Linked DNA regions of Arabidopsis thaliana. The protein of the gene in region 4 purifies or fractionates together with the protein of the main gene of each other region. This does not show direct contact. Each region holds a gene or a part of one and is shown on either strand. Other genes may lie near its edges. The genes, in order: AT1G63210, AT3G46210, SMU1 and AT1G60080.

What was found.
Region 1: the proteins of AT1G60080 (region 4) and AT1G63210 fractionate together in Arabidopsis thaliana (co-fractionation; one large-scale study listed by BioGRID). This does not show direct contact.
Region 2: the proteins of AT1G60080 (region 4) and AT3G46210 fractionate together in Arabidopsis thaliana (co-fractionation; one large-scale study listed by BioGRID). This does not show direct contact.
Region 3: the proteins of AT1G60080 (region 4) and SMU1 fractionate together in Arabidopsis thaliana (co-fractionation; one large-scale study listed by BioGRID). This does not show direct contact.

What each region holds. Positions count from the first base shown.
Region 1 is NC_003070.9:23,440,255-23,448,612, forward strand, and holds AT1G63210 (Transcription elongation factor Spt6), read left to right. Parts: upstream 1-3,433; coding exon 3,434-6,709; intron 6,710-6,782; coding exon 6,783-7,100; downstream 7,101-8,358. Other genes in the region: AT1G63206 (Cystatin/monellin superfamily protein), read left to right, coding at 1-82, 256-289, 387-396. UniProt on the Arabidopsis thaliana protein: Transcription elongation factor that enhances the transcription elongation by RNA polymerase II (RNAPII).
Region 2 is NC_003074.8:16,973,770-16,980,457, reverse strand, and holds AT3G46210 (Ribosomal protein S5 domain 2-like superfamily protein), read left to right. Parts: upstream 1-1,541; 5' UTR 1,542-1,593; exon of another isoform or gene 1,594-1,874; intron 1,875-1,955; exon of another isoform or gene 1,956-1,958; 5' UTR 1,959-1,968; coding exon 1,969-2,074; intron 2,075-2,162; coding exon 2,163-2,276; intron 2,277-2,392; coding exon 2,393-2,493; intron 2,494-2,576; coding exon 2,577-2,597; intron 2,598-2,821; coding exon 2,822-2,894; intron 2,895-2,967; coding exon 2,968-3,035; intron 3,036-3,114; coding exon 3,115-3,247; intron 3,248-3,394; coding exon 3,395-3,498; 3' UTR 3,499-3,827; downstream 3,828-6,688. Other genes in the region: AT3G46220 (E3 UFM1-protein ligase-like protein), read right to left, coding at 41-88, 251-517, 609-920, 1,111-1,284. UniProt on the Arabidopsis thaliana protein: Probable component of the exosome 3'->5' exoribonuclease complex, a complex that degrades inherently unstable mRNAs containing AU-rich elements (AREs) within their 3'-untranslated regions.
Region 3 is NC_003070.9:27,722,197-27,731,766, reverse strand, and holds SMU1 (transducin family protein / WD-40 repeat family protein), read right to left. Parts: upstream 6,777-9,570; 5' UTR 6,709-6,776; coding exon 6,683-6,708; intron 6,172-6,682; coding exon 5,961-6,171; intron 5,871-5,960; coding exon 5,718-5,870; intron 5,270-5,717; coding exon 5,221-5,269; intron 4,978-5,220; coding exon 4,894-4,977; intron 4,742-4,893; coding exon 4,638-4,741; intron 4,503-4,637; coding exon 4,416-4,502; intron 4,319-4,415; coding exon 4,265-4,318; intron 3,900-4,264; coding exon 3,804-3,899; intron 3,641-3,803; coding exon 3,516-3,640; intron 3,270-3,515; coding exon 3,143-3,269; intron 3,045-3,142; coding exon 2,985-3,044; intron 2,887-2,984; coding exon 2,779-2,886; intron 2,685-2,778; coding exon 2,584-2,684; intron 2,442-2,583; coding exon 2,390-2,441; intron 2,144-2,389; coding exon 2,045-2,143; 3' UTR 1,736-2,044; downstream 1-1,735. Other genes in the region: EIL3 (ETHYLENE-INSENSITIVE3-like 3), read left to right, coding at 1-1,333; AT1G73710 (Pentatricopeptide repeat (PPR) superfamily protein), read right to left, coding at 7,602-9,570. UniProt on the Arabidopsis thaliana protein: Auxiliary spliceosomal protein involved in splicing of specific pre-mRNAs that affect multiple aspects of development. Required for proper accumulation of SMU2.
Region 4 is NC_003070.9:22,150,719-22,157,748, reverse strand, and holds AT1G60080 (3'-5'-exoribonuclease family protein), read left to right. Parts: upstream 1-3,105; 5' UTR 3,106-3,303; intron 3,304-3,396; 5' UTR 3,397-3,409; coding exon 3,410-3,569; intron 3,570-3,653; coding exon 3,654-3,703; intron 3,704-3,783; coding exon 3,784-3,853; intron 3,854-3,932; coding exon 3,933-4,038; intron 4,039-4,133; coding exon 4,134-4,200; intron 4,201-4,339; coding exon 4,340-4,415; intron 4,416-4,682; coding exon 4,683-4,990; intron 4,991-5,072; coding exon 5,073-5,144; 3' UTR 5,145-5,519; downstream 5,520-7,030. Other genes in the region: BGLU4 (beta glucosidase 4), read right to left, coding at 1-125, 172-259, 340-371, 488-696, 772-887, 957-1,209, 1,289-1,376, 1,461-1,532 and 4 more.

The DNA.
Region 1 (8,358 bases), 1.3 Mb from region 4:
AAGCTCTTTCAAACTAGGGTCCGCCATGATTATGATGTTACGGATGACTACATATTATGCAGACCAAAGCCCTATCAGAAAGGTATTATTGTTGTTCTCTTCTTTCTACATGACGAATGTAATCCTTCTATTAGGCCACATTTTTGTTTATGAATCAGCAATTACGGTGTGCATTTGTATAATTCTTTCTCTTTTGGATCATCCTCTGCATATATGACTCTCTTTTGTAACGGTAAAATTTGATTGTTTTGTCAGTCAAATGCGTTGGATCTTCCAAGACACATAAAAGGTAAACCCGTCGTTTACTTTTGATTCATCTCTTCCTTTATGTTAATATACTCTCGAATCTCTTTTAATCTGTTCTCTTATGTTCATGATTTTTGCAGCTTGGCATAGGACCTTATGCGATATCCAATGTGGTTTTCTTGGTGAGCAGTGAGCTAAATTAGTGTTCATAGTTTATGGTAGAATTGTTCACTTATACTAGAGTACATGTGGCGCTCTAAGATATCATGTCTTGGGATACATTCGGACTAAGCTTCACCGATGTTCACCTATACTAATCCGCAAAAGTAATTGTTTCCGTATAATATATAGCCAGCTTTTGGATTGATCATAGATTTGTAGCAAAATCCTGTTTTTGTTTCTTATATTCTAGAATGATTTTGAAATTGGTTATTATTCTATGTTTCTTTAACTATGGTCTCTGGAGTGCGTTGGAGACATGAGGGATGTCAAAACTAGAAATTAACTAAGGGTCAATTAAATATCGATGCCAAAAGAAAAAGAAAAAAAAAACTTTACAAAGGAGTATTTCACCTTTCTATTTATTTACTACAATATATTATGAAGAGTTTTAAGGAATTCAAAGAGTGATTCATAGGTATGAACAAGTGGTAGATAAAAGATGATGTCATAATCTTAGATATCTTTTGGATATAATCATAGTTTAACAATTAGACAAGAGAAATTCAACTTCCATAAGAGGTCTTCTTCAACAATATAATTAACATGTGCTCACTATTTGTTTCGGATAAATAATGCATTTAAATTTTCATACAGAATTTTCCAAATATATTTAATTTATAATGGTCTACGGTAGATGATTTCCGATGTTTTTTTTTTTTTTTAAATTGACAACGTCTGATTCCAATTCACGAAAAACGCATTGCACCAAAAAAAAAAATTCTCCAAATTATCAAGGCATTAATTGGTTAGAGAACATAAAACAGAAAATTGATTGATGTCCAAGATGATAGGTATTTAGGTGATTACTAATTGTAATCTGGCATTCTTGATGAAGACAACACGTTTTGCATTTTTTTTCTGATAAAAAGTCTTCAAATTAAAATGCCAGGTTACAAGACCACAACCTTTTGGTTGGATTGGGTCATGTGGTTTAGAGAGCGAAGAGATTAGTGTTACAGCTAATCGAGAAACTGAATAACAACATAAGGATGAGAAGATGAAGTAAAGAGGGGGAGTGCATGTGCATTCTAAATTACTAGAAAACACTAATTGAGTAATTGTAATGACCACGGGTCCACGGCCTTCTCGACCACCAACACGTTTTGCATTCTTGAATGACCGTGCTTTCAAAATTTGCGTGTACGTAGCATGTGAACATAGAGGGTTACAAACTTGCATCACTTTTTAAAAAATCATCATGTGATAGCATAAGATGACAAAAGAGAAACGATGTAACAAACAATATTGTTTTTGGTTATCCAGTGGAGATGATTATACTAATATATTCTGCAGAATCACTCTATTTTTGGACACCTTTTAGCCAATATTAGAACAATATCTATTGGAACCCACCCAACGACACGTCTTCACGAATTTCTCAACAAAAAAAAATACTTATACCAAAAGCTAATTTTGTTGAGTGTGATTTTCAAAAGTAAAATGGTTGAAAATTCAAGACACTTCTTTTCATGAATTAATAATGCATATACAAACTCCATGTGATTTCAGTCCGTTTGGTTTTTCCATTTTTTTCTCATTTTTCGTAAATAGAAATAACCTCTAAGTATTCTATCGTGTAAGAAAATAATTTAAGTCTAGAGAAACACCTAACCTTTAAATTAAAAATCATTAATTTTATAGAATAATTTCTTTTTTTTGGCAACGTTAAGCGCCTTAATAACTAGGCTTAAATTAAATCCTTTTTTCAAAAGATGTGATATAAGAAATTATCAATAGTAATTTGGTTTGGTGTTGGGGGAGTGAGTGCCCGTTGTAGTTTTGATCAGTCTGGCGTTTGCTTCCGGTTTGGTGCTGTTTGTGCTAGAGTTTCTAATTGGTTCGTGCTTCTAGTGATCTAGCAGTCTCTTCTAAACACTTGTCTTTGGCTCAAACTCGGTTTCTATTGATTCAAGTGATCGTCGGTCTGGTTTGCTTCTTTACTTTTTTCAGTTCTTAGGATTCATTATCCCATCCTCCGTTGTTTGCTTGATCTTTTTTTTTTTTTTTTTTTTTTTGTTTTGCAATTCTTAATTGTTATGGTTTTTTGTGCTATGAATTTTATTAAGTGTTTTCGGTAGATTCTGCTTTAGTTTTCGAGAATTTCTTTGTTTTTTATAGGTTTAATATTTTAAAAATATATTTCACCTATATATTTTATCATTAGTTTATATAATGAAAAAATTAGTGGAAAAAAGAATTATCAATATAAATTTGTATGAATATGAAAAATAAATCTCTTAATGAATCGAAAAAAATACCAAATATATTAATTAAATATCAGCTAAAAAAAGAGTTTCATAAATATTTTTAAAAATAAGAAATGCTTCAAAACTTCAATTAGTAGCCTCTTAATGCTGGTGTGAACCCTAGAAGTACGAAAAGCCTTTTTCTTTGTTTCTCTTCGCAAAATTCAGAATCAAATAGAGACTAGTTTTACGATCACAGAGTTTCTAGGGTTGATCTCCATCTTCATCGATTTCGTATAGCTAAATATTCTAACCTAGTCATGAATAGGATCGACGAAGGTACATAAAAAGCTCTGCTTTCAAAAGCCCTAAATTCTCTGTTATTATTATTTTTCTAACGATTCGACTCTGTTTTTGAGACAGAGCCCCAGATTCATGAAGATCCAGTGGAGAACCGTGAGGAAGATGATGAAGACGAAGATGATCAGTATGAGTTTGACGATGGGTTTTTAGTGAATGGTTCTGATGATGGAGAAGAAGAAGAAGAACAGAGACATTGTAGTGAGAAAAAGAGTAGAAGTCGAAGGAAGAAAGACGAATCCTTTACTCTTCACGAAGATGATTATCTACTTCTTAAAGATAACAACGACACTTTCCAAAGAAACAAGTATAAACGTTTGAAGAAATCTTCAGAGGAAGAGGATAAGATCAATAATGATGATGATGATGATGATTTGAGTCACTTCATTGTAGATGAAGATGATCATGGTGCTCAAGGAATGAGGAGGAAGAAAATGAAATATAAGCAAGGAACTGATTCGAACGCTTTACGATACGCTAATGATGTATTTGGTGATCCTGAAGAATTGTTGAAACTTCGGAAAAAGGATTTGAAGTATAACGAAAAGATCGAAAGAAAGTTAGAAGATGAGTTTGAACCAATGGTTCTCTCTGAGAAGTATATGACGGAGAAAGATGATGAAATTAGGAAGCTTGATGTTCCTGAGAGAATGCAGATATTTGAAGAAGCCATTGGAATTGTTTCCCTAGATGACATGAGCATTCAAGAAGAGAGCAACTGGATTTATGCTCGATTGCTTCAAGAACAAGGGCAGGGTTGTTTGATTAATAAGGATGACATTGTGAAGTTTTTAGAGATGTTTCATGTGCAGAAGTTAGAGATACCGTTTATAGCTATGTATCGGAAGGAGCAGTGTCGGAGTTTATTGGACAGTTCTGATGATGATCATGATGGTAGTGATTTCAATCTTGACAAGAAGCTTGAGACCAAGTGGCATAAAGTCTTGTGGATGATTCAAGATTTGGATAGAAAGTGGGTTCTTCTGCGGAAAAGGAAAACCGCGTTGTTTGGTTACTATACCAAACGTTTTGAAGAAGAAACCTGCATGTCTGATCTGAATAAGAGTCTTTTTGAATCTGTTATTAAGTCTCTTCAAGCGGCGGAGACAGAGAGAGAAGTTGATGATGTAGACTCAAAGTTCAACTTGCATTTTCCTCATTGTGAGATCGATGAAGGACAGTACAAGAGGCCGAATAGGAAATCGCAATATAGCATCTGCAGCAAATTTGGGATTAAGGAATTTGCAAACAAGTTTGGTTATAGCGCTGAGCAATTGGGACTAGCGTTGTCTCTTGAGAAAGTTTTTGTTGATGAGCTTGAAGATGCAAAGAAAACACCAGAGGAGATGGCATTGAACTATGAGTGTGCAATGTTTGGAGATTCTCAAGCTGTTCTTAAAGGTGCAAGGCATATGGCTGCGGTTGAGATAAGCTGCGAGCCATCGATTAGAAAGTATGTTCGTGGAATTTTTATGGAGAATGCAGTAGTCTCAACGAGTCCAACACCAGATGGGAATGTGGTTATAGATTCCTTCCATCGGTTTTCTGCGGTTAAGTGGTTAAGCGAGAAGCCATTGAGAAAGTTTGATGGTGTACAATGGCTTCTCATTCAGAAAGCAGAAGAGGAGAAGCTTCTTCAAGTAACTTTCAAGCTGCCTGAGAATCAGATGAATAGGATAATTAGTGAATGCAGTGAACACTATCTAAGTGTTGGTGTTAGTAAGTATGCTCAACTCTGGAACGAGCAGAGGAAATTGATACTGGAGGATGCGGTTCATGGTTTTGTTTTGCCGTCAATGGAGAAAGAAGCAAGATCCTTGCTAACTAGCAGAGCGAAGACTCAGTTGCTTTCAGAGTATGGACAGGTTTTATGGAACAAAGTGTCTTCAGGGCCATATCGAAGGAATAATAATACCTCGGAGGAGGAAGCTGCACCGAGGGTCCTAGCTTGTTGTTGGGGACCTGGAAATCCAGAAACTACATTTGTGATGCTTGATTCATCAGGAGAGCTGGTTGATGTGCTTTACTCAGGTTCCATTGGATTGCGGTCTCGGGATGTAAATGACCAGAAACGTAAAAAAATGGATCAAGATCGTTTTCTAAAGTTTATAAGAGACCATCAACCAGATGTTTTGGCTTTAGCAGCTGTTAATTTGAGTTGTGTACGCCTGAAGGATGAGATTTATGAGGCTATATTCCAAATGGTGGAAGAGCTGCCGTTGAATTATGTAGATGATAGGATTTATGATTTTCCATTGGTTTATGCGGATGAATCTCTTCCTAGGCTATACGAAAATTCTAGAATCTCAAGTGAACAACTACCTCAACAAGCAGGAATTGTGAAACGCGCAGTTTCTCTTGGACGTTATCTCCAGAATCCATTAGCAATGATCTCAACTTTATGCGGTCCAGGTAGAGATATTCTGTCTTGGAAGCTTCATTCTTTTCAAGATTTTCTTGATCCAGATGAGAAGTATGAGATGGTTGAACAAGTTATGGTTGACATAACGAATCAAGTTGGAATCGACATTAATCTGGCTGCGAGCCATGAATGGCTTTTTTCTCCTTTACAGTTTGTTTCAGGTCTTGGTCCTAGGAAAGCTGCATCTTTGCAGAAGTCTCTTGTTAGAGCTGGTTCGATATTTGTCCGCAAGGAACTGATAAATCATGGGATTGGTAAAAAGGTATTCGTAAATGCAGCTGGTTTCTTACGGATTCGTAGGAGCGGGTTGGCTTGTAGTAGCAGCCAATTTATTGATCTGTTGGATGACACTAGAATACATCCCGAATCATACGGTCTTGCGCAAGAATTGGCGAAAGATGTTTATGCTCATGATACTGTAAGAGGTGATGAGGATGATGCAATAGAGATGGCGATAGAGCATGTGAGAGATGAGCCAGCTTCTTTGAGGAAAATCGTTCTTGATGAGTACTTGAGAAGCAAGAACCAAGAGAATAAGAAGGAAACTTATAGTCTGATCATGAGAGAATTAAGCTGTGGATTTCAGGATTGGCGGAGTCTGTTTAAAGAGGTTGATTCAGATGAGGAGTTTTATATGATTTCAGGTGAAACCAAAGAAACTATTGGTGAAGGGAGGATTGTGCAGGCCACTGTTAAGAAAGTGACAAGTGGTAAAGCCAAATGTGTATTAGATTGTGGATTACCTGGGATTCTCTTGAAGGAAGATTACTCAGATGATGGTAGAGATATCGTTGATTTGTCTAACAAACTGTGTGAAGGCGATATCGTTACTTGCAAGGTCAAATCGATTCTAAAGCAAAGGTATCATGTGTTACTTGTCTGCAAAGAAAGCGAAATGAGAAAGCACAGGAATCTCGGGGATGTCGATGATTATTACCACGAGGAGAAACGAAATAGTGTCCTGATAGAGAAAGAGAAAGTTCCTAAAGAAAAGAAGCAGTTTAAGTCTCGGATGATTGTTCATCCTCGGTTTCAGAACATCACTGCCGAGCAAGCAACAGTGTATTTGTCTGATAAGAATATTGGAGAAAGCATTGTTCGTCCAAGCTCACGAGGACTGAATCATTTGACTTTGATGATCAAGATTTCTGATAATGTGTATGCTAACAAGGAGATAATCGAAGGTGAGAAGGAGAACAAAGATATAGTGAGCTTACAACGTATTGGGAAAACACTGAAAATTGGGAATGAAACCTTCGAGGATCTAGATGAGGTTCGTCTTTATATTCTTACAAAATTTCAGTTTTGGTACAAGTGAAAATACTTATGCGTTTTCAATATTTCAGGTAATGGATCGGTATGTTGATCCTTTGGTAACTCATCTTATGACAATGCTAAACCACCGGAAATTTCGGACTGGGACAAAATCGGAAATAGATGATCTTCTTCGGGTTGAGAAGGGTGTGAATCCGAAAATGGTAGTTTACAGTTTTGGTGTTTCTCATGAACATCCAGGGAGCTTTATATTGTCTTACATACGATCCGCAAATCCGCACCACGAGTACATCGGTCTATACCCTAAGGGATTCAAGTTCAGGAAAAGAATGTTTGGGGATCTTGATAAACTGGCTGCTTATTTCAAGAGACATATCGATAATCAATGAACTTGAAGGTACTATTTATCATGTATTCATGAATTTTTCCACTCCTTAGCCCAAAGAATTTCTTAGACTGATTGCTTGCTTTGCAAGAAACCTATATGGGAAATAATAGTTTTGTTTTTGGAACGTTAATTAGGTCTGTTGTTTAGTAGAACTATACAAGTATTCAACTTAAATTTCGTCAAAAGTGTGAAAGATCCCACAAGAAATGTGAAGAGACGAAAGATTTAATTAGTTAGCTTTGTTTATTGCGGACAGAGTGTTGTTTTCAATTCTAACATCTCTGTTTTGTTTCATGGGTTTTTCTTTTCCGTTACTTTTGGGTTAAATGATTGTTTTTAGATTCATTTATGTAACTAATGATGTTCTCTTACTTTTTTTTTTGCAGATTGATTTTAAGGTATGGTTTTTGCTGATGTTTGGTTCAAGCACAAGAGCTACTTTAGTATAGTTAACTTTATATCAGTGACTTTTATGTTGACAATTCAATTACGCCATGAGTCAATTTACTTTTTCCTACTCTCTTGTGTTTGTTTATCTTTTCCTTACGTGATCAATTTTTAGAAATTAGTACTGTTTAGGTTCCCAAATTACTGTACAGTAATCATATTCAGAAAGAAGGTTGTTTGTCCAAAAGAACTAGAGTAAAACGTAGTATATCATTGTTATAAAGAAGATGTAAAAAAGTTTTAACAAAAAAAAGCCTAATCGGTGGAACAAGAAAAGTGATCAAATTAAGATTTGTAGCTAGATTTAAATGACTTCAATGTAAACTTTAACTAGAGTCAAGAAAAGAAAAATATATTGAAAAACTATTCAATTTAGATTATTTTTTTGTTGCCTTTTAGCATATGTACATATACACATAATTTATTTCTCAGAATATAATATTTATTAATTTCAATTGCCAATTTTTCATCCATTTATTCTTACTATAATTAATCAATCTAAATTTATGAATATTAAGAATTGTAACAATTTAAAAAAAAAAATTGACCAAATTTGTAAAGTTTTATGTTTTAACATTTACTATTTTTCATTGCAATATATGAAAATATATGTAACGGCCTATCTAAGAGATCCTGTCATTAAGATTTGATTTGGTGGTATATCAAAATCATTGTGCTTTTCCTTATGAATAATCTATAAAAAGTATAAAATCATAGGATTGATTTTTGTTCATTAGTATTTTTTTTTCTATGTTTTTATTCAATACTAGTATTCATCATTCATAAAAAAAAAACATAAAACAGTGCTAGAA
Region 2 (6,688 bases), on a different chromosome or scaffold from region 4:
AAACGGACTAAAGACATTTCAGATAAAATGATGACCAAACCTGTGAAAAAGAAGAGTCTACGCATTCCTTTTGAGCAGTTGCAAAAGCCTGCCACCAAAATCAAACAAGTTACTCTAATGAATGGTAAACATGGGAAACATCAAGCATAGACAAGAGTGCACTCATGAAATTTTGAAGACTGTCGTAAATTAATAGAGTGGTAAATCCATTCGTGGCAGAAACCCAAAAGATAAGAATTTTATGACATACACTAGGAGTCCAATGGGTTCCAGCACGTAGTGATCCAAGCATCTCCTCTTCCTTCAACAGTCGGTTAAATATAGACTGGAAAAATGAATTCTCAACAGCAACTCCACTGGCTCCATTCGTTTCTTGTACCAACTGTTGCAATGGTGCCCACAATGCCGACAAATTGGAAGGAACAAATATACCCCTGGAAGCACCTCGAACCATAGCGGTCACACGTTCTACATAAGCAGGTGTATATAACTGTCCACCTTCTAGCCTAGCTTTCACCTAAAAAAGATTGAAAAAAAAATCCATAAATATAAAAGTTCACATTCACTTAAACACAATCTGGAAAGCTCAAGAGGAGAAGCACAATTACCAAAGTTCCAAGTCGAGGCTCTAAAACCGATTGCACCAACTCAGAGCCAACCTGTAACTGACCAGCAAGTTCAGCCACAGCAATTTGGCTACACTCTTGAAGCCTCTCATTAATTTCTTCTGCAATCGAATCCCAATAACTTTGTGATATTATTTCTCCCTGAACTAACATTAACCCTGGATCATTCAACACCACATCTTGTGCTTGCTTCTCCACATGATACAAATCAACCCCAATCGTATCTGCCAGATCAATAACAGAGACACGTCCCAATTTACTGATCTCACGAGTAATTTCATTCCTCAATTGCTCCTGAAACAAATCAAGATCAAACAACTTAACTTCATTTTTTCCGATTAAATTCCTCATGCAACAAGAAGAGTTAGCAATTTTTCACTCCATTAACACATTACTCACATCATGATACCAGAATTCTATGCGAAACCCAGTGATGATTCTTCTGGAGTCTAAATTCACACCGGAAACGAAATAGAATCAGTACCTGAGTGATGTATTCTTTTCCGGTGACGGTATGAAGCAGATCGAAGTCAATAACGCCAAGCTCCTGAAGCTTCTGAACCAATTCGACAACATTTCGATCCGACAATCTCACGCTTGACTTCACCTGTTGAGCGAACTCGAACTGACGCTGCAATTCCAACAATTCATCATCCATCTTCCTCTTCGCGTTATCACCGGAATTTGAATCTCAGATCAAAATTTGATATCGTCGATGCGTCGGATTTTTTCCGTCAGTTATACACAAATTCTTCTCCGGAAGATTGATTATGTTCAAACACCGTATTAAGTATCTTTCCTCAATTGAGTTTACTGGTTAAAGTTAAACCAATGTTTGAATAACCGGATTAACCGGTTTGTTTTCGGTATACTCTAATTGATTTGAAATTGAGGGTTTTGAAACAAATAAACCCTAATTCTTCGAGTTTCTCTCCTCTGGTGGTTTCAGTTGTTCTTCCAGCTTTCAGTTCCGTAGCTGTGTATTCTCTCTTTCGTTAGTCTTCTTGTTTGATACGGAATCGTCTCTGCTTCTAGCTTCCTCAAAATTAGGTTCTTAGTCTAGCTCTGTGTTGATTCGTGTGTCCTTTTGTTCATACATCGTCTTTTATGTGCTAGATAACGAGTATTGTAGAATTGAAAGAACGATTTTTTTGTCTCAATTAACAAAAAAACTACTCGGATGTTGGTCAGAACCATTAAAATACACCTACTGTTGAGCTAGAAGCAGTTCAAATTTTGTTTTCAGTGGTAACAATTCACAGTTATAGAATCTGAGAATTTGATTTTGTGACAAAAGATGCTTACTTTGTGAAACCCTTTTGTGTGAAGAAGTATTGTAGCAATGGAGATTGATAGAGAAGATGGAAGAACACCAAATCAGCTGAGACCTCTTGCTTGTTCCCGTAATATCCTTCATCGTCCTCATGGCTCTGCTAGTTGGTCACAAGGTACTTGTTTTAATCTCCATGTTTTTTGTTTGTTTGATTACATATATCAGCACTTTCTAATGGGTATGCTTCTTGTTTATATTTTCAGGGGATACAAAAGTTCTAGCTGCGGTTTATGGACCTAAAGCAGGAACGAAAAAGAACGAAAATGCTGAGAAGGCTTGTTTTGAAGTCATATGGAAGCCTAAATCCGGGCAGATTGGTTCGTAAATGCATTTAGTTTAATCATGTCTGGATGTTGTTTTGTTGCTTGAGTATGCGGTAGAGGTGATTCTTGGTTTTTAGATTCTGACTGACTTTTACTTTGCATAATGATAGGAAAAGTTGAAAAGGAGTATGAGATGATATTGAAAAGGACGATACAGAGTATTTGTGTTTTGACTGTTAATCCAAATACCACCACCTCAGTGATAATTCAGGTGAGTAGCTATTTCATTGTTGTATATATCGATTTATCAACTTGAGTTGTATCTGAACTTTTCATTCTTTGATTCCTGTGTAGGTTGTGCATGATGATGGTTCTGTATCCTTTTTATGATCCTTGCCTTTTGGTAAACATTTACTGATACTGTGTCAAACACATATAATCCAGTATAAGCAATCTTGGTTTTAGTATTTTTAGAGTTTTTAGCAGTGAAAGTTTGTAGTCCCATGAGCTGGGAGTGTGAATATGTTTTAGTGGAATAATTGGTGCATTACTTTAGAAGACAGTTTTTGCTGCTTTTTCCTTGATTCAATTCTGTTTAGCTTCTACCATGTGCGATAAATGCAGCATGTGCAGCGCTTGTCGATGCAGGAATCCCTATGAAGCATCTGGCTGGTACATTTACACTCTTCTCTAATTGACTTTGTGTGTTACTTCTTACTGTTTCATCAGCTTTTTGTTTTTTCAGTTGCTATATGCTGTTGCCTGGCTGAGAATGGATATCTCGTACTCGATCCAAACAAGCTTGAAGAAAAGGTTATTTAAAAGCCTTGTTGTCCATTGTTATATTTTCTTTTGCGTGTTGGTTATACTTACTTGAAACTGCAATGGACAGAAAATGACGGCCTTTGCTTATTTAGTCTTTCCAAATACAACTCTCTCTGTTCTTCCGGAAGGGTCATCAGTAGCGGAAGGCGAGCCAGTAGAGCATGGGATCATCACATCAATTACACATGGAGTAATGTCAGGTACTGATCAACTTTCCTTTCTTGAATAGAATTCACTATGGTGTATTATGCTCATACATTTCATTTGTGTAAGACATGTTTTAAAGAACTTGTTTCTCTCAATCACTGCATCATCTATAATTCTGAATTCTTGCCTTTTTGTTTCAGTGGACGATTATTTCCTGTGTGTAGAGAACGGCCGTGCTGCTACGGCTAGTTTATCTGCATTTTTTAGAAAGAACTTCCAACAAAGTTCATCCAAGGCTGGGTAAAAGCACAAATTCATAATGGTTTGCATGAGATTTTGAAACGGTTTCATATTACTCCTGTTGTAGCTTTGATAGAATCCTTGTCGTCTATGTGTCTAATCAAAAATCAAAAGCTAGTGGCCTATTATCTAGTATCATTAGATATGTGAACAGATGAACCTCGTATCTTTAATACAAATGGTAGCCATGGTCAGAGCTATTGATTCATCACTTGTCTTGACAATTTTTCAGCCCGTGGGGATCAGATTCGAGTCAATTATAAAGAACATGTTCATGGATTATACTGTAATTTACTAGAAAATCTAGTATAATTTCTAATAACAAGAGCAGATGAGCTATTTATTTCAATTATCCAACATATGAGATGAACGATAAGCACAACAAGCTTCAACAATATTGGGGAAAGTAGTAATGAAAACAAATTGGCCCCTTTCTGATCAATAATACTCCATTACTCCTGATAGTTGCAAATTGGATTAAAGCTGGTTCAATAATCATAGGAAGGCCCGGACAAATTTACGGAACCGAAACAACTGAACTGGAACTGAAGTGAAAAGAACCGAACCGAACCAAACTAAACTCATCGAATAGTTGAGATATAATACTGTCCTGAAATGTTGCCGTGGATAAAAGAAAACCGCCCAGTCCGAACCTAAATTGAGCCCGCCCATAAAAAACTCAAATTCAAAAATTCCGAAAGTTTTGGGACTTGTGGATAAAACTCAGAAAAACACATGTGTTCCAGAACTACATGTGGGTATCCGAATTATATAGAGATATATTTTCAATTGTATTTATTTTCTGTTTCTATATATAGATATATTTAAATTATATTCAGTGTCATATGTATTTACTAGTATCATATATACTAATATTATGAATTTTACATATAATCATGTATTTATATTTTGTATAAACAACTTTATTTGTTATCCTTAATTATATTTTAATTCTCTATTTTCATCCAAGTTTCTAACAAATTTGTAAACCCAAATCCACTCAAACATTAATAATTTAAACGATTATACAAAACAGAGTTTCATCAAAGTTTCTAATTTAAAACAGAAATACAAAAAGTAGTGAAAAAAATCTAAACAACTTCTTCTCATACTCCACAACTACTTGCTATCGATGTAATACCTTCAATTCTATCATTAAAGTATTCTTCAATGTCACCTACAATTTAAATATATAAACCAATAAATAAAAAAATTAAGTATAAAAAATAGACTATTCTTTTTTACCTTCTAACTCTGCAAAACCACGTGGTCAGTTTCTAGAACATAGTAAGGCTTGAACAATGTCACGTACAATTTAAAGATATAAATCAATAAATAAAAAAAAATAAGTATAAAAAATAGTCTATTCTTTTTTACCTTCTAAGTCAGTTTTGAATATTTTTAGTACGTAGCAAGGCTTGAACATTTCTAGAAAGGAGGCGATTTTTGAAAGGGATCAAAACCCGACCTCCAATACTAAATGATGACTTTGCTGCCACTTTGTGTTGCTTCTCGTATAATAGGCCAATTATAAAATCAGAAAAGTAAATTTCATTTCACAATTTTATTCCTAAACACATAAGAAAAAATATGATTAATTTTTGAGAGAACATATCAAACAAAATATGTATTATGTTGAAAGAATTAAATAATTTTACATGGATCACAATACATTTTCAAGAAAACGATTACATATAGGAGAAAAGCTTTTCTAGTTTTTTTTTTGTTTTTTGGGTTTTAACTGAAGAGAATTAAATTATTATTTTTAGTGACTGCAAGAAAAGAAAGAAAAACAAAAGATTGTTAGTTTATAGGAAATTCCCACAAATAGCAACATTTCAAGTTTTTTGGACAAAAATAGCACTCAAAAGTTTTTTGGACAAAAATAACATTCAAATAATACATAAATTCATCACCAAAAATTTCAGACAATATTTTCTCGCTAAAACAATTTTCGTCAAAAATTTCTCGTAAAAAAATAGAATTCAGAAAGGATTTTACAAAATTTAGGAAGAATTCTAAGCATTACTTCTTGGTGTGTAAACTTCACAACTTACAAAATCCTGAGCTTAGTTTCTCTTAACATAATTTGGTCATTTGATCTTTTGTTTATCTATATTCCATCAGTCGATTCTGCAAGCATTGTAGTCACATTGTGAGACTTTTCTGTCCTTAAAGAAGTGGCTTCGAAGTCATTCATGCCATGGGAGATGTCTAAACTTTCACCAAAGCTTAAGGTTCATCTTTCCCTCTCTTATGGACATCTCACAAGTCATAAAGAGTCTTTCAAGGATTGTCTCAAGGTGGAGATTTATTGAGTGTGAGCCAACTTGAAAGAAACTTAAGAAGAAGCCTCTATTGGAAGCAGAGGGTCTCAAGTCTCAAGTCTTATGTCACATGAGTGCACGTGATGGTCCAAGACGGTGCGTTTCACCTAAAGAGATCAGAGTCTTCTAGAAGGAGATATACAAGGTGTGACTGAAGAAATAACAACATCTATTTATGACTTGTTATTTTTGCCCTTAATCTCTGCTTTCAACTAAGTGGATTTTTGCTATTGACTGAAGAAATAACAACATCTATTACTTGTGTTCTATGGAGTCTGGATGGCAGATTCATTGGTAATCCTTTATGCTATGTGTGTTTTTAATTAGTAGTACTTCATGTCTTCTCTCTCATTTTAAATATATTTTTGTAGGGGTTTCATTTAATAAGAGTTTGATTCATTTATATAAGGGGTTTGTGCAAAAAAAATGTTTCTAACTCATCTATGTTTTGCAACTTTACCCTCCATCTCCAACAAATGCAGATTAATCTTTTGAAGTCTAAAATAATACGCAATATGACCCTTATACGTATATTGTAGACGTTTTTACGTTCACATATATTAGATATTTAAAATTGTGAAGGTAGAGTTGAACACTTCGTCAAGAGAGCTTTGATTTAACATAATATATGTCAATATTTTACAAAATTGATGGTAGCAAAAGAAGGGCGAAAAAGGGTTACAATAAATATTATTTTAGACTTCATAGTATTAATTTGCATTTGTTGAAGGTGGAGGGTAAAGTTGCAAAAATAGATGAGTTAGAGGATCATCTTTCCCTTTATATAACCATGACTTTCTCCGGCATCTTGAGGTGGCTCGCTTGATCCTTAAACGATCATCTTTTCCATAAAAAATTGACATTTTT
Region 3 (9,570 bases), 5.6 Mb from region 4:
TATAAGAGCTTGGTGGAAAGAGAAAGTGAAGTTTGATAAGAACGGTCCTGCTGCTATTGCTAAATACGAAGAGGAGTGTTTAGCGTTTGGGAAATCTGATGGGAATAGGAATTCACAGTTTGTTCTCCAGGATTTGCAAGATGCTACTTTAGGGTCTTTGTTATCTTCTTTGATGCAACATTGTGATCCTCCTCAAAGGAAGTATCCGTTGGAGAAAGGGACGCCTCCGCCTTGGTGGCCAACGGGGAATGAAGAATGGTGGGTGAAACTCGGTCTGCCTAAAAGCCAGAGTCCTCCTTACCGAAAACCTCATGATCTCAAGAAGATGTGGAAGGTTGGAGTTTTAACGGCAGTGATCAATCATATGTTACCTGATATTGCAAAGATTAAGAGGCATGTTCGTCAGTCGAAATGTTTACAGGACAAGATGACAGCTAAAGAGAGTGCGATTTGGTTGGCGGTTTTGAACCAAGAGGAATCTTTGATTCAGCAGCCTAGCAGTGACAATGGAAACTCCAATGTGACTGAGACACATCGTAGGGGTAATAACGCTGACAGGAGGAAACCTGTGGTCAACAGTGACAGTGACTATGATGTTGATGGGACAGAGGAAGCTTCAGGTTCAGTTTCATCTAAAGACAGTAGAAGAAATCAGATTCAAAAAGAACAACCAACAGCCATCTCACATTCAGTAAGAGATCAAGATAAAGCAGAGAAACATCGCAGAAGGAAAAGACCTCGAATTAGATCCGGAACTGTCAATCGACAAGAGGAAGAACAACCTGAAGCTCAACAAAGAAACATCTTACCTGATATGAATCATGTTGATGCCCCTCTGCTAGAATATAACATCAACGGTACTCATCAAGAGGACGATGTTGTCGACCCAAATATTGCCTTAGGACCAGAGGATAATGGTCTGGAACTAGTGGTTCCTGAGTTCAATAACAACTATACTTATCTTCCACTTGTTAATGAACAAACTATGATGCCTGTAGACGAAAGGCCAATGCTTTATGGACCAAACCCTAACCAAGAGCTTCAATTTGGGTCAGGGTACAACTTCTACAATCCCTCTGCAGTGTTTGTACATAACCAGGAAGACGACATTCTCCATACACAGATAGAAATGAATACACAAGCACCACCTCACAACAGTGGGTTCGAGGAGGCCCCAGGAGGAGTACTTCAACCCCTTGGTTTACTCGGAAATGAAGACGGTGTAACAGGGAGTGAGTTGCCTCAGTATCAGAGTGGCATTCTGTCTCCATTGACTGACTTGGACTTTGACTATGGTGGTTTTGGTGATGATTTCTCATGGTTTGGAGCTTAGTGTCTTGCCATTTTTTTTGGGAGATTACATAGTAAGTTTTTTTTTTATTACACAACACCATCTCATATATTTGATCTTAGTTTATAGATTTGATGTATTTTGTTTTACTGTTATTTTTGTAGGTTCAAAAGGACATGGCAATAGTCTGGCTAGTACAGTTACTTTCTCTTCTTCATTTCTTCTGATCTTATATTCTTCCTCTTTTTTTCTTATAATATTTTCTTAGATTTGTTAAGAGAAACAATTTTCCTTTTGAATAAGTTGCCAGAAGAACTGCTTTGCCCGTTGTAATGGTCTCTAGGGAAAGCAGTTAGCGTATCATCATTTGTAAATTTACCTGTGAGTAATTCATCAAGTTAAGAGAATCATTATTTGTTTCTTTTGAACTTCCCAAGTTTTCATTTTTTTTTATATATTTTTGAGCTTGACTTTATTCTTTCCTAAGACTAAAAAGTATATGGGAGTTGACTGGCTGGGAAGGTCAAAGAGGAAGGAGACACGTTGTTAAATAAACTACTACAAGGCTCAAGGCCAGGTGAAACGGTCTTAAAATCTGAAATGCTGGTTTTAGAGTCTGTGGGTAGTGTTCCCAAAATGGCTGAGATCTTTGCAAAGATGGTTTCACATTACACTAGTTCTAACCCGAGAAGAGTGCAAATCAAATAAAGACAGACTAATCATACAGAAAACAAGACTTGATGATGAGAAAACTCAGGGCTTCCATAACTTCATAGTGCAATCTTCACTATAGGTAGCAAGGAGGTTTCTATGCGGGTGGTGTGTTATACCAATCACATCCTTCTCATGCACCTGTCATAAGCATAAACTATTCAGAAACCAGGTCTAATAAAAGACAACTAAGATAAGTATTAAGAGAGAGAGAGAGAGGATGATAATCTGAGCTCTAAAATGGAGAACAGATGAATCAAACATTATAACACACAAGGGACTTCATTACTCTAGTGAGTTACTGTTATGTGTTTGTCTCAAATGCAACTTTCAAATTTCCAACATCCAAAATCTTTTGGAGCATGTCTGTTACGGATATAAACTTACCATCATGAAATGCTCAAGTCCACCAGATTGATAGTTGAAGCAGTACAGTTTCCTGTAGGTGCAAACACCATTACGAACATCAAAGGCAGAAGATGAAACCCGAAAAGAAAGGAACCATAAGATTATCCTTTGAAATCAAACTCGTGGAACTTATCCAAAAATAAAACGATAGATATAGGAGGTTAGAGTGTTACTTGTCTTCGCCGATGCAGTATATCCAATCTCCTTTTGTAGATACACATGCTGCTACAAAATCTCCTCCTTCCCTATTACCGGATGAGAAACTCTTCACAACCTGCAAAAGGATTCCAATATAGAAGCATGTGAACAATCTTAGTTTTGGCATGACAATGACACTGATTTGCAGGAGACCGTTGCTGGAAATTTACCTGTCCTTGGAGTGTCATAATGTATATAGATGATGTCTTGTTGCACACAACAATGTGTTCTGTGTTTTTGGGGAACAAGTGAATAGAGTTGACTGATGCATCAGTTCCCTATATTTCAAAATTCAGACTTGGTAACCAAAGAGTTTGCCACAGAAGATCAGAAAAAGTATTACAAGATGTACATAAATCTGTATAAGAAAAGATACCCTTAACGGAGGTGGCGGCTTGAATGTTTGTAGACAATCTGTCGTCTTAGAATCCCAGACCTGTGCAAGGAAACAAGACTGTTATTACACGGCAGAAGGGGCAGAGAGTCCAAATGAGAAACAATGATACTGCTGACAGCCAAAGCCGAAGAATTTACCTTTACTGTACAATCACTGGAGGCAGTGATAATACGGCTTCCATCACTTGTAAAGATGGCATGATTTACATAAGATGTGTGACCACGAAATTCTTTCAACAATTTCCCAGATTTCAAACCATGGATTCTGCATAAAATAAAGCAAAATATATAATAAGAATTTGATATTATATTCGACTAGAAGCTCTACCAATAAACTTACATAACTACCAAATGAAAAGGAAAATATTAACAAAAACAAGAAGAAAAAAGATGCAATCAAAAGTTAAAAGAATATTCTACCATCAAAGAAATATAAAGCCTCAAGTTTTTGATAGGACGAGATTCATATCGCAAGTACAAAATAAAAAAATAAAGATATAACTAATAAAACCTTGCAGTTTGGTCAAAGGAGGTACTCAGTAATTGGCTTCCATCCCGAGAGAAGGAAAGACTTGTAACTCCTTGGGAATGTGCATCAAAACGACGTATGCATACACCAGTCCTTATACGCCAGATCTGCAAAAGTGACATGCATCTAAGTCTAGTTTTTCTATTTGTATTCAATCAGAATACATATGGGACCAATGAGAGGAAGAAGATATATCTACCAAACTGCCGCAATAGTCTATCTTCAGACAAAAAATTCAACTTTAAGGAAACATATGCAGCTGGAACTTACTTTAATCTTTCCATCTTGTGACCCAGATGCAAGCATCTCTGAATCTCTGCTAAAGTCTATGCAGAGGACAGGATCATCATGCATCATGAAAGATTCCTGTCAGAAATTAATCATAGTAAGTAAAGAGGATGGAATGGGAACTCTTTATCCAAAACTGATATTTTGTATACCAGGAAGTCTCAGACGAGATACTTGGTGCTTTAGGAGTTACATTGGAGAAAAAATTAAAATTCAAAGATAACAGTAATCCACCATATACTTGGTGCTTCAGGAATCTCATGGGCGACATTTTTGGAATAAAAAGCAAAAAGTAATCCACCATATCATTCTCACAGACTTGTCACACGTTCAATAATCAGATGCAGTAAGGATTATTTTCATTTGATTAAAATGTACTAACAGCTCATCTGACCCCGTACTGAGTTAGAATTAAAAAATGAAAAGAAGACATGAGAGCTTACATCAGCTTGATATTGCAAATCCTTCTTGAGCTTTCCACTTATGTAATCCCATACCTGTAATGCTTTTCAAGTCTGAGCAATCCTAGTCACAGAATTATTTTAAAGACTAATAACTTGTATTATCATACATACAGATTCCGGATCAACTCACCTCGATAAAACCATCCACAGAAGAAGATGCAAGAAACTGTCCATCTGGTGAGAATCTAGCGCATTCTGCATGACTCTTTTTACCAAACTGCACCAGCACCAGCACAAGGAAAAAGATATGAAAATTAGACAAGAACTCAACTGATGAGAAAACCCAAAATAATCATGAGCAACAGATCATAGACCACTAAGCTAAAGAAGCTATTAAAGTGTGAATATGAACCTTTATGGTATGAGTAAGAACATTAGGATGTGTGTCTTCTACATCTTGCTTCATAGCTGCCGTCCCACGAAAGAGGTCAAACTGTGTTCCTGGAGGGAGCAGGCCTGACACAAGTGTATGTAAATTTTAGGAAATGAGAGAGGGTACATATGTTGATTCCATTGATATATTAGTAATGTAGGCAAAAAAGTAAAAGAAAACGAGATGAAGTTTGACAGAACTGTTTGGTAGCATCCACAGTTCCTTAGATAATCACCTTGATGTTGTTGCCACTTTAAAGCCTGACCTATCAAAGCCATTAACCGTGAAGGTGGTACCACGGTAACCTCGGCAGCCACAGCTGATCGAGTAGGAGAACAAACAATTAGTGAACCTTGAGTACATACTGAGCAAGAGAAAACAAAAACTCTATAACCATTAAACAGGAAATAAGTTCTCGTCATAACTTCTTTTCATGTCATAATAATATTTAAGCATGCAATAGAGAGAGTATTCCAGAACATCACTTGGTTCCTTCAGGTAATTAATCATACAATAACTGAAGAAAATTGTTATTGTAGAAAATAAAGAAGAAATGGCCAACCTTGAGCAATCTGTGCCCGTTTTCTTTCTTTAGTTGAGTCTCCATAAGCCTTAGAAACAAAGGTAAAATTAGCAAACCATGATTATCACAAGGAAATGATTACATGAAAAACGCCACTCTTTGTGCATAACATGAACAATGACTAGGAGACAATACACCTCAAAAGACTAATCAGATAGAAAAGTCAAATCCATCAACATGTAAAAGAGCTAGTAACATGTAAAGATACTTTTGTACTCAGAAATACGAGCATGTGTTATACTTTGAGACCCTCATCTAGAAACAACTTCATGTTTAACCGCTCACTGGTTCTACTTAAGATTTTGAAAGATATCAAAAGTCGCAAGTAGAGTACAGAAAATGCAAGAGATAACAGATATAGCAACATTGTTTGAACTGTTGAACAGTTGCGGACAACCATGCTTAGGTGACACAGCAACAACAAAAGCAACACCCAACGTGATATTGAATAGTCGAGCATAATATAGTTTCCATACCTCATGCGGATCAAAATAGCTTCTGACTAGAAGATGCTCCATCCGCAAATATCTTTCTGCTTGCTCCTGCTTCATGACACCCATCACCTGAGTTTGTCTCAAAATAGCTCGGGCAGTGTCCAACTCTCGAAGTTCTATCATCTCCAATACAATCTGAAAAAATCACCCCGAAAATAAACAAAACTTACAATGACAATCACTATTTTTATACACTTCTACATTTCACAGAGTAAAAGAACAAACCTGTTCATAAAGGTCTTCAAGTTTATTCCTGGGAAGTTTAAGCTGGGAAACTTGAGGTAGTACCGAGTCCCATCTTCCACTATTAATATCAGAAATAAACGTCTCGACGCTGTCTACTGTATTCAAGGAAACCTGACACTCGCTTTGTAATGTCTGGAATGTCTGATTCAAGGAATTTTCTTTGCAGAACTGAAGCATAATCTTTATTACACTGAGACATTCAACACAATAGAGAGCTATTAGGGATGAAGATCTACACAAAGCTGACATATAGCATCAAAACGTTCTCCATCCAATATTACTAACAAAATGGCTAATAATACTGTCAATGGTTTCAATCCAAGCCGAGAATTAACAAGAGTTCAAATTTATACAAATTGGATTTTTCCTCGAGACGCATTGCAAAGAATCAAAACACTCTAACGATGATCTCCCTCAAATTTTCGTATACGACGTTAATTTAAACGAAGAATAGCTACGGAGGAATCTAGATATTCAGAAGCAATTAGCTTTAGAAGAACCAAGCTAAAACAAATTATGGGTAGATTTAAAAACCACAACTTTAGTATGGAGGATATAAAAAAACCAACATTCAAGATGTTTTCTCCAAACATGTAACCTAAGATCCATCTGAGCATTCGTAAACGATGGTTCTTGGAGCACAATTCATATCAGTGACACTAAACGAAAACTAGGGTTTGTAAGAGAAAGCGAAATCTTACTCTCGAGCTTCGATTTCGAGCGCCATACTCAGTCGTAGTGGGTTTTCGCCGGAGACGCTAAGAGGTAAAAATGCAGCAGAAAACACACGCGAAGGAGTTTCAATTTGGTTTTAATTCCAGGACAATGCCTCAAATATCAAATATTATGGGTCAAAATTAAACTTTCAGAAACTCCGAGTGTTATTTTGTAAATTTAAAATTGCAAAACATTGCTTACATACCATTTAGCTTTAGCTTCACACCCTTTTTTTTTACAACTTTTAGAGAAAGACAAAGACAACAATAAACACATTGACACTGTGGTCTTCAAGAGTTCTCCACTGGTTCGTTCCACTCCTCTGTTCTTCAACTCTAGAGCTCCATCATCATCTTCATTGCTCACTACTATTACTTTCTTGAGATCAATAACTGATATACTTTGACTGAAGCTGAGAGACTCTTTGTTCCGAATGGAAGGAATTTGCTGGCTACTCTGTTTCATATCTTCCATGTTGATATTCATCACCAGTAACTGACAAGATTCCAAATTGGAATCAATTCCAGAACATCTGGCTCTTTTCATGGGCTTTGATGCTATACAATTGAAAATAAGAGCAAGCAAGACAGGAGAAAGATGTTCAATCCAGAGACCAAAACCAACAGAAGACCAACCCGATGATGCAAATCAATCTATTGTTGTAAGGAGCGTATGCTAATTCCTCTACCAAAACCATAGCCAAAGGTGCTCGCTTTTATAGATTTGACCCTGTGGAACCTTTTTTTTTCTTTCTATAACAGTTTTAAGATACACATTTCTTTACCAGAGATCAATCTGAGGCTTAAGTATGCATATTTCCTTTGGCTTCTGTGAAACTGTACAGTCCATTTCCACTAAATCCTATATTCTACAATATTTCTTACATACATCTGTGGCTACACTTCAAAATGCCTCGTCTTCTTCAGAATTTTCCTCTTCATCGTCTTCTTCTTCTTCTCCAGATCTTGAACTACACTCCCTTTCAGCTTCAAAAGCAATGCTCATCTCTTTCTTCACCACATCAGCCAAGTCCTGTCTGTTTGCACTCACATAAGCATCTCTAACTGCTTTAAACAACGATTGGCTTGGTTCAAGCTCCCCAAACGTCAGCCGGCTATGTACCCTCTTCACACCTTCCACCATTCCCGCTTTCCCGTATATCCCAACAAGGTAGGCTTGCGTGACAATATCTGGTTCTAGACCTTTTTCCTGCATTCTCATGTATGCCTTTAGGGCCATGTCAATGTCTCCTGATGCACTATAAGTGTATATCACTGCGTTGTATGCAAAATGCTCGCGAGGAATTTCACCACTTGTGAGCTCTTGGCATGATTCCAGCGCATATGCATACAAACCCATGGCTGAGAACAGAGTTGCAGTGATTGCTGGTGTTGCCAGTGGTTTAGCTTCATTGTATGCGGTTTGTAGCTGCGACACAGCTTCACTTGGCACCCCACCTTTCTTCAAGAGCGTGAAGAGCGTTTTAAATGTTCCCCAATCCAGCAAGAGCTTTCTTTCAACTAACATCTCATGAAACAGTTCACAGCATTCACTTAACTGCCCATCAGCAGCGTAGCAAGCCATAACCTGATTAAATGAAGTGCAGTCACTTAGTAGACCAGACTCTCTCATTTCTTCAGCCACTTCAATAGCCTCGTCGAGCATGCCCATGCCCTTGTACAAGTACATCATTGTTGCAAACGAAATAACATCACATGTGCCTTTTTCTCTGAGAGCATTGAAAATGGATTCTGCTTCAGAAACTATGCCAAGATCTGCACACAGACTTAGCATGCTGTTTGATGCAGCAACATCTGGGCCACCTTCTGAATCCTTCATTTTGTCATACACTCTCCTAGCTTCTTCAAGACACCCCACTTTGCTATAAGCCTTGATAAGGGAAGTCAGAACGATATGATTGGACTGAACGCCATGTTCTTCCATCATTCTAAAGTATTGAATCGCTTCTTCGACCATTCCACTCTCAGCAAACCCATTAATTAAGGAACCATAAACAACTTCATTCGGTTTCACCCCTGTTTTTTCCATTGCCTCGTACAGGTCAACTGCATCAGACAACAGGCCAAGCCGCACATAGCTAGCTATCATAGCAGCATAGGTCTTGCATCCAGGTTTACAGCCCGAATCCAGCATTTCAGCCAAGATCCGCTGGGCTTCGTCCACTAAATCAACCCCAGCAAGCATCTGGAATAGGGAATTGTAAGTGCACTCATCAGGCCAAGTCCCTTGGTTCTTCATCCCTTTGAAGAGAGAAAGTGCTTTCTCATGAAGTTTGGCCTTACCATAAGCCTTGATCATGACATTGTACTCCAAAACATCATTCCTCTGGCCTGACATGTTTCTTTTCCCATAGAACACAGTCTCCGCTTCAACCCACAGTCCCTTTTCAGCATAGACATCAATAACTGCTGCAAGTGTCGTTGACGAAAGCACACAATCCAACTGGAACCTCTCAAACAGAGCTTTTGCCTGTACGACTAAACCTTCATTGACATACATCTGCATAATAACAGGAACAGAGTGCTCATCAATGCGAATGCTATTTCTGTCCATCTCAGCTATCACAGCTTCAACTTCTGCAACCATTTTCCGCTGACACAAGATATGAAGAACAGCTCGATGAGTTACAGTATCAGGAAAAAGTCCTACTTTCCTAATTTTCCTATAGTACTCAAGAGCTGCCTCAATGTCCCCAGCATCAGCATGAAGAGACAAAAGGATATTATATGTCTTAGTATCAGGGGATATCCCTTTCTCTTCCATCTTCTTCAACAAGGATTCAGCCTCTGACAAATGCCCATGAGTTCCACAAGTATGTATCATCGTGTTAAACGTTACAGTATCTATAGGT
Region 4 (7,030 bases):
TATGGATTTGAGCACACCACCAATGTAGGCATGCAAGTATTCCACCCTTGGTATATCCTTCTGTTTCAGCTGCGAATCTTGCTTCATCGGTGTACCTATTTGTTGCCATTGGAAAGTGAATTTAGCTGAGGATAAAAAAAGAGAGAGATAGAGAGCGAGCGAGCGAGAGACCACTCTCAAGAATGTAGACAGGAGGATTTCCATAGCTCTGCTTTATATACTCCAGCACAACTTCCATAGCCCATGGAGTATTAGCATACTTGTTTAAACAAAAACAAAACAACTTAGTAACACTATTCTCTATCAAGACTAAAGAAATCTTAGCCTCAAAACTCCTACCTGAAAATCTAAACTTTTTCCAAAATCTGTCTCTCCCAAGAAAGAAAGAAGAAGAGATGATTAGCAAAAACAAGATATCATAAAAGAGAAAAAATCTTGTTTTGTTATTTAAAAGATTGAGTTTGATTCATACAATGAAAAGATACACCCATGTATGAGTAGAAATCCGGGTTTCCGGACAGAGAAGGTTTGGATTTGATGTTAGTGACAGAAGCCGCATGATAGTGTATGACTCCTACAAAGTCACATGAGCCTTTAACTTGTTCTGATTCTTTCTCAGAGAAAACTGGCAGTCTTGATCCAATGGTTCTTTTCATTGTATCAGGATAGTCTCCAAATAAAAGAGGTCTAAGGAACCTGAGTTTTAAAGAGTAAATCTTTTTTATTGAGATATGTTGAACAATATTTTGGAACAGTTTGTGCCTGACTCACCAGCCGACGTAGAAATCTTGGGCTCTTTGGGTTGCAGTGGCATCATCCTTGGAGCTTGTAGTAGGAATAAGCCCTAATATGAATAAGCTAAATCCTATGGAACCTCCCTGCTTATCCTGCATATTATATATACTTTATAGTGTGTTTCTTCTCACACATTCAAGAGAGGGTTATGTAATATATACCTTGTATTTTTGTTTGTATCGTCTTGAAACAGAGGCGTGCGCAAGCAACAAATTATGGCCTACAATATATGGTTCAATGGAAGAGTTCCCTGAAGAACAGTTTTTGCTCGGTTTGGAACAACGACCAGGCGGTGTATCCCCATCGTTGTAACCTCCTATAGAGAATATATTAGCCTCGTTGATCGTGGTCCATAGTTTGACATGGTTCCCAAACTCTCTGAAGCAAACATCTGCATAAGTAGTAAAGTCTTTGCTGCAATGGCAAATAACATCAACTTTTGTTATTTTATCTTAAACTACAAAATCTGTAAGAGAAAATAAGTAACGCCTACATCATTCTGTGGTTGAGCCATCCTCCATATTCATCCTCCAGAGACTGAGGATGATCATAGTGGTAGAGTGTAACATGTGGTTCAATTCCTGTAGTAAGTCTACTTAAACTCTAGTTAATACGAACTAAACCTAACTCTTGAGTCCTACCGTGGATATGAAGATAGGTCTTACCGTGGCTTACTAACTCTTGGATGAGGTTCTTGTAGAACTGTAGACCCTTTTGGTTAACAGGCCCTCTTCCATCTAATCAGATAATAAATTACGAACTGATCATAAATTTGATCCCTTCACTGAGCTATAACATGTTTAAGAAAACTTACTAGGTATTAGCCTAGACCAAGAGATGGAGAATCTGAAAGCATCTAAGTTAGTGTCCACCATCAACTTCACATCATCCTGTATAAATTCATAATGAAACTCAGGCTTGATGAATAAAACCTCATGATGTAGTCAGAGAAACAGAGAAGCTAAAGAACCTTGTACTTGTGATACCCATCACATGCTATATCTCCGTTACCTTGGTCACCTGCAATGTTAGAAACAAGAATCAAAGCACAAGAGTGACAAACTCTAATACTAATAATAGTTTGTGTTAAAATGAAAAGCTTACGAGAGTGACAAAGAGTGTCCCACAGGCTAGGTTTCCTTCCGTCTTCTGCAGCAGCTCCTTCCCACTAGTAGAGACCAAACATTTGGTTCAGTTTTGTTCAAAAGTTAAGAAAAAAGAAGCTCATAAATTGGTTCCAAACCTGATAAGCAGAAGTGCCGGCTCCAAAGACGAATCCCTCAGGGTAGTCAGATCTGCTGAAAACGTCGCTGCATTTCCCGGAGAAAGCAAAAGCAAGAAAAATGGCAAACAGAGCCAAAATCTGTTCCATTTCTCACACACACACACACTCTTTTCTTCGTTCCATGTTAGAATAAGTAAGTCCAGTAGCCATTTGCGTACCCGCTAGATATAGTTGTGACGTAGACATTAATGATGATGCAATTTAGATAAGAAACATATTGGGAAGTGTGTTGAAATGAATTATGGTCTTTATTTACTATGATAAGAAACAGATTACGCTGGATCGGAGCCCAGGTCTGACCAACCCAAATAACGAAAGAAACTAGGGGACCGGAAAACCATGCGGCTATGCAGCCCCAGCCCCACATATATGAGGGCTTTTGGGCCAAAAAAATATTTTTGGACTTTTTGTTACATTTCAATTTTTTTTGGGTATTCCTAAATTTTTGTTAATAGTATGGACTATGATATAATAACTTTTGAGGTATTAAAGTAAAAATATTTGGTCCTCTTATAAAGAAAAAAATATTTTATTTCATAAAACTTAATAATTATTACAAAGCATAAAATATTAAACATACATTATCTTAAAATTTTAAAATAGATGTGAAAAAAACGGAATAACGATAAGTTTTTCTGTTGATTGTTGCAAATTTCAATATACGAATACTTATAACGATGTTTTGAATTGAAATTTTCTACGAATACTTATAACGATATATATAGTAAAAGAGAAATTTCTTAACTTATAATTAAACACCATTAAGTAATGTATGGAGGATTAACAAAATTGGATATAAAACAAGAATGTATAATGTTCATTTTGACGCCATTTCTTCTTCTTCATATTTTACAATTTACACTAAACATTTTCCCAAATTCAGCTCATAATCAAGTGCGCCTCATATTTTCGCCAAATTCATCTAATTGAAAACCCAAATTTCAATATACTCATGTCTTGTGAAGCAAACAAATCTCTTATTTCGCATTTCTTTGGGCTTCGCAACATTATTGGGCTTTGTTTGGGGCCCATTTAGAATGAAGAAGTACTTTAGTTAAAAACTCAGATAAACCTAGCCGTCGTCACCGTCACCGTCTCCGTCGAAATCCCCATTACTTACGACACCGCGAGCTCTCAATCTTCTTCTTACACTCTATTGCTTGTGTTTCCTCTTCACTACAACAGTTTCGTGTACCAAAGGCAGTTCTTTCTTTTGTCCCAAGGTAAGCTTTGTGATTCCTTGAGACTGTGTTGATGAAGCACAGACTCAGAGACTTTTGGTTTATGATTCTCTTTATCTTTGTGACATGAAGCAGAGCTAAAGAAAACATGGGAATACCAGATGCAGCTCAAGACTTGTCGACAGAGATGGAAGTTGATGCTTTTAGAAGAATCTTCCCTCTTCGTTTCTTTGAGCGTCATCTCTCTGAATCTCTTCGTCCTGATGGAAGACAACTTGGAAAAGCTAGAGACACCATTGTTAATCTTGGTATAAACAATGAAGATTGATTCTTTTTAGTTTTTATCAAATTAAAAATGTCAACTTTATAGTGGTTTCTTGTGTTTGTTGTAGGACTTGTTTCAACTGCTGATGGGTCTGCTCTTGCTAAGATTGGTTCCACTGTAAGAACCCGCCTTAGTCGTTTCGATAGTATTCACATGATCAGCAATGTTTTGCTTACATAGTTGTTTCGTGTTTATAGACTATGCTTGCTGCTATTAGAATGGAAGTTATGACTCCTTCTACGGACTCTCCAGACGAAGGATGCATAGGTTGTTATCTCGTTGTCTTGTTCTCTATGTGGTTTGTTGTTCTTCTTTGGTGATTCATTTTGTGATTCCTTTTTGGTAGCTATTGAGTTCCATATGCCTCCAATTTGTTCTCCGACTGTTCGTCCTGGAAGACCAGCCGAAGCTGCTCCCGTTATTTCAAAGCGTTTGTCTGATACTATTTTAAGGTGTGTTTTGGTTTGATCTTTCTCTTTATATTTTCTCTGTCTCATTGAGCATCAAATACAATGTTCCTTCTAAAAGTGTTTCTTTTTTGTTCTAGTTCTGGTATGATTGATCTTAAAGAACTGTGTCTAGTTAGTGGAAAAGCTGCTTGGATGGGTTATCTGGTGAGTACTCGTTGGTCTTATATCGGTGCTTGTCCGTCAGTTGATTCACATCTATTCTTCTAGGGATCTTTCTCTTTGATATTTAACTGAGTTCTCTAGCATATATATGAACATTGTTGCTCTCTGAAATTTCTCATAGGACATATATTGCCTGGATGCTGATGGTGCTCTCTTTGATGCTGCTCTGCTTGCTGCTGTCGCAGCCTTCTCCAATCGTAAGTTCTTCTCTGTTCTCATCCTTTAGTTGGTTTCACAGCTCCTTTAGAGAACCTTTGAATAAAGCTGATTCTCAAGTTTATCAAATCCATTTCGAATATGAGTAAAAAGAGCAAGCCTTAGAGAACACTTAAATCTTGCTGAGTGAGTCATACCTGAGTAATATTCTTCCCTGCACAATAGCGGTTTGTTCAGAAGTTGTGTGATTGGTGTTCCGAGACAGAAGAATTTTTCCTCTGATGCATAAAATATCTTTTATATTGCAGTGCAAATTCCAATTGTTGCTCTGAATGACAATGGAAGAATAGTTGCCGTCACTGGAGAAAAAGATCAAGACAATGCTTTGATCACCGAGAAAGAAGCAGTGAACAAGGAGAAGAGAAAACTTACGCTTAAGAACATTCCTTTCTCTTTAACTTGCATACTTCACAAGAACTACATCTTAGCAGATCCAACAACCGAAGAAGAATCGATCATGGACACTCTTGTGACTGTTGTTTTGGATTCCTCGGATCAAATGGTTTCTTTCTACAAATCAGGAGGAGCTGCTCTCGCCTATTCATCAGCCATCAAGGTGAGAGTTTTAGCTTTCTCTTAGGTTAATCCACCACTTGATTTACACCGTTTTTTGTTTCTTATAAAGTTGCTATGCGCAGAGCTGTGTCGAGTTAGCAAGGAAGAGAGCAAAGGAGCTTAAGCAGATATTGGGAGAGATGGATATCGACTAATTTATCAGATGGAACGATTCCATAACATTGTTGAAATTTTGTGTTACATATTTTAATCAGATCACCAAGTTACCCATTTAGAGGCAAAGGAAGAAGCTCTTCACCATTTTTGTTCGATTGTGTTACGGTTTTGTTTGTCATATAACGACTTTAATTTAGTGCTAGTGTAAGTGTGAGATTATATTATCTCCATTTCAAACGAACCGAAATGTGCGTAAGCTGATTAATTTTACAAATGTTCAAATCAAAAGCAATTAACAAGTTTGTTTGTTGACCACCATCGCAAGTTTGTTTTTGATTAGGCTTTTCTGAATTTTTTTATGTTATAATGTAAGGGTATGTTAAAATATTATTCCATTTAAAAGAGGCATTGTAACAAGAACCATTCTGAATCTGTGAAAGAAATATTCCATACTAGACGAGGAAAGTCCTCGAGAGACTAATTAAATACTAAATAACATAAAATCATTCTGAATCTGTGGAAGAATCATATGCTAAGCGAGGAACTTCCTCCAAAGACATGAGACTCTCAGTGTGATTATGATAATAGCGGACCTCTCTTACATTTTTATGATTAAGCTTCCAGAATTCTTCGTCACCAATTCCTTCATATAATCATATTTGACCCTCCTTACTAGGGTTCTTTTTGGATCATAATATAAGACATAAATTGCTTCAGATGTTGTTGCAGCTGTATAAATAAACTCACCAGTGGATCATGAGTAATACCTCTCAGCCCCCAAGAAACTTTCCAGATCGGGTCACGTTGAGGAAATTTTCTAAGTGACCGTTCTTGTTTCTCTTCATCCTCCAAAACCCAAAATCATTTACCAGAGACGTCGTCAGAGCAAACCCATGCAAATTTTCCTTCGTAGTTGAGGAAAAATTTGCAAAGTAAATTATCAGCCGCTGATTTTCTTATTGTGTTGAACTTTTCGTACCTCACATCGAAGCTCATAAGGACTTTCTCAACTTCAGAACTATCATCGACTCCAAAAGGTATACTCGCTTCATAATACACTTCCCCGTTGATACATATACTTTGTATTAGTCCCTCGGCGGATAGAGGGACATGTTTAGGGGTATTTTGTGTCACTCTCCATGATTCTTGAGGTCCCAAAGTAAAAACAAGAGGATCTTGGTATCTAGAGCATGAGATGCACAAGACTTTATACTTACCCTCGACCGGATCATATCCTAAAGAGCTACATTCAAATGCGACTTTTGGTAAGGTAACATGTTGTCTCATGATTGGATTCCAAACTACAATATGCCCCAAGAATCTCCCAAACATATCAAGCCATGGACCGACTGGGACCATTCGTGATAATCAAATATGAGAGTGTCTTTCAGATAACGCTCCACATGTGGATAACATGATCTGTCCGGATTTTCATGTTGGGGCATTGCGCAGAAAATACGCTTGTCACTTGTTTTCACGCAGACCAAAAGACACAACCTAGTTGAAGACTGACTCGCGAACGACCTGATGAAATCTGGATGAGTGGTGATTGATGACCATAGCTAAGAGACCCAGTGGAACCTCGCAGCAGATTTAGCAGGAAGTCTCAAGAGTATATCAGGAATTAGATCAAGAGGAATCATCTCGAGAAACTTACAAAAACTCTCATCTTCTTTAGATTGTATACTTACTTCCCTATCTTCCGCCTCTTCCTCTACTCTATCCATTGGCGTCGATCCACTAGTTTTTTTTTTTAACCCTAATTTTTCAACCCTAAGTTTTTCAAACCATTATAGTAGTTGTCATCTCTGGACAAAAGGAACAAGTCAATGCATCGATCACCGAAAAGGAAGCATCGTACAAAGAGAAGAAAACTGAAGATTAAGAACATCTCTTTCTCTTTAACTTGCATACATCATGTTCA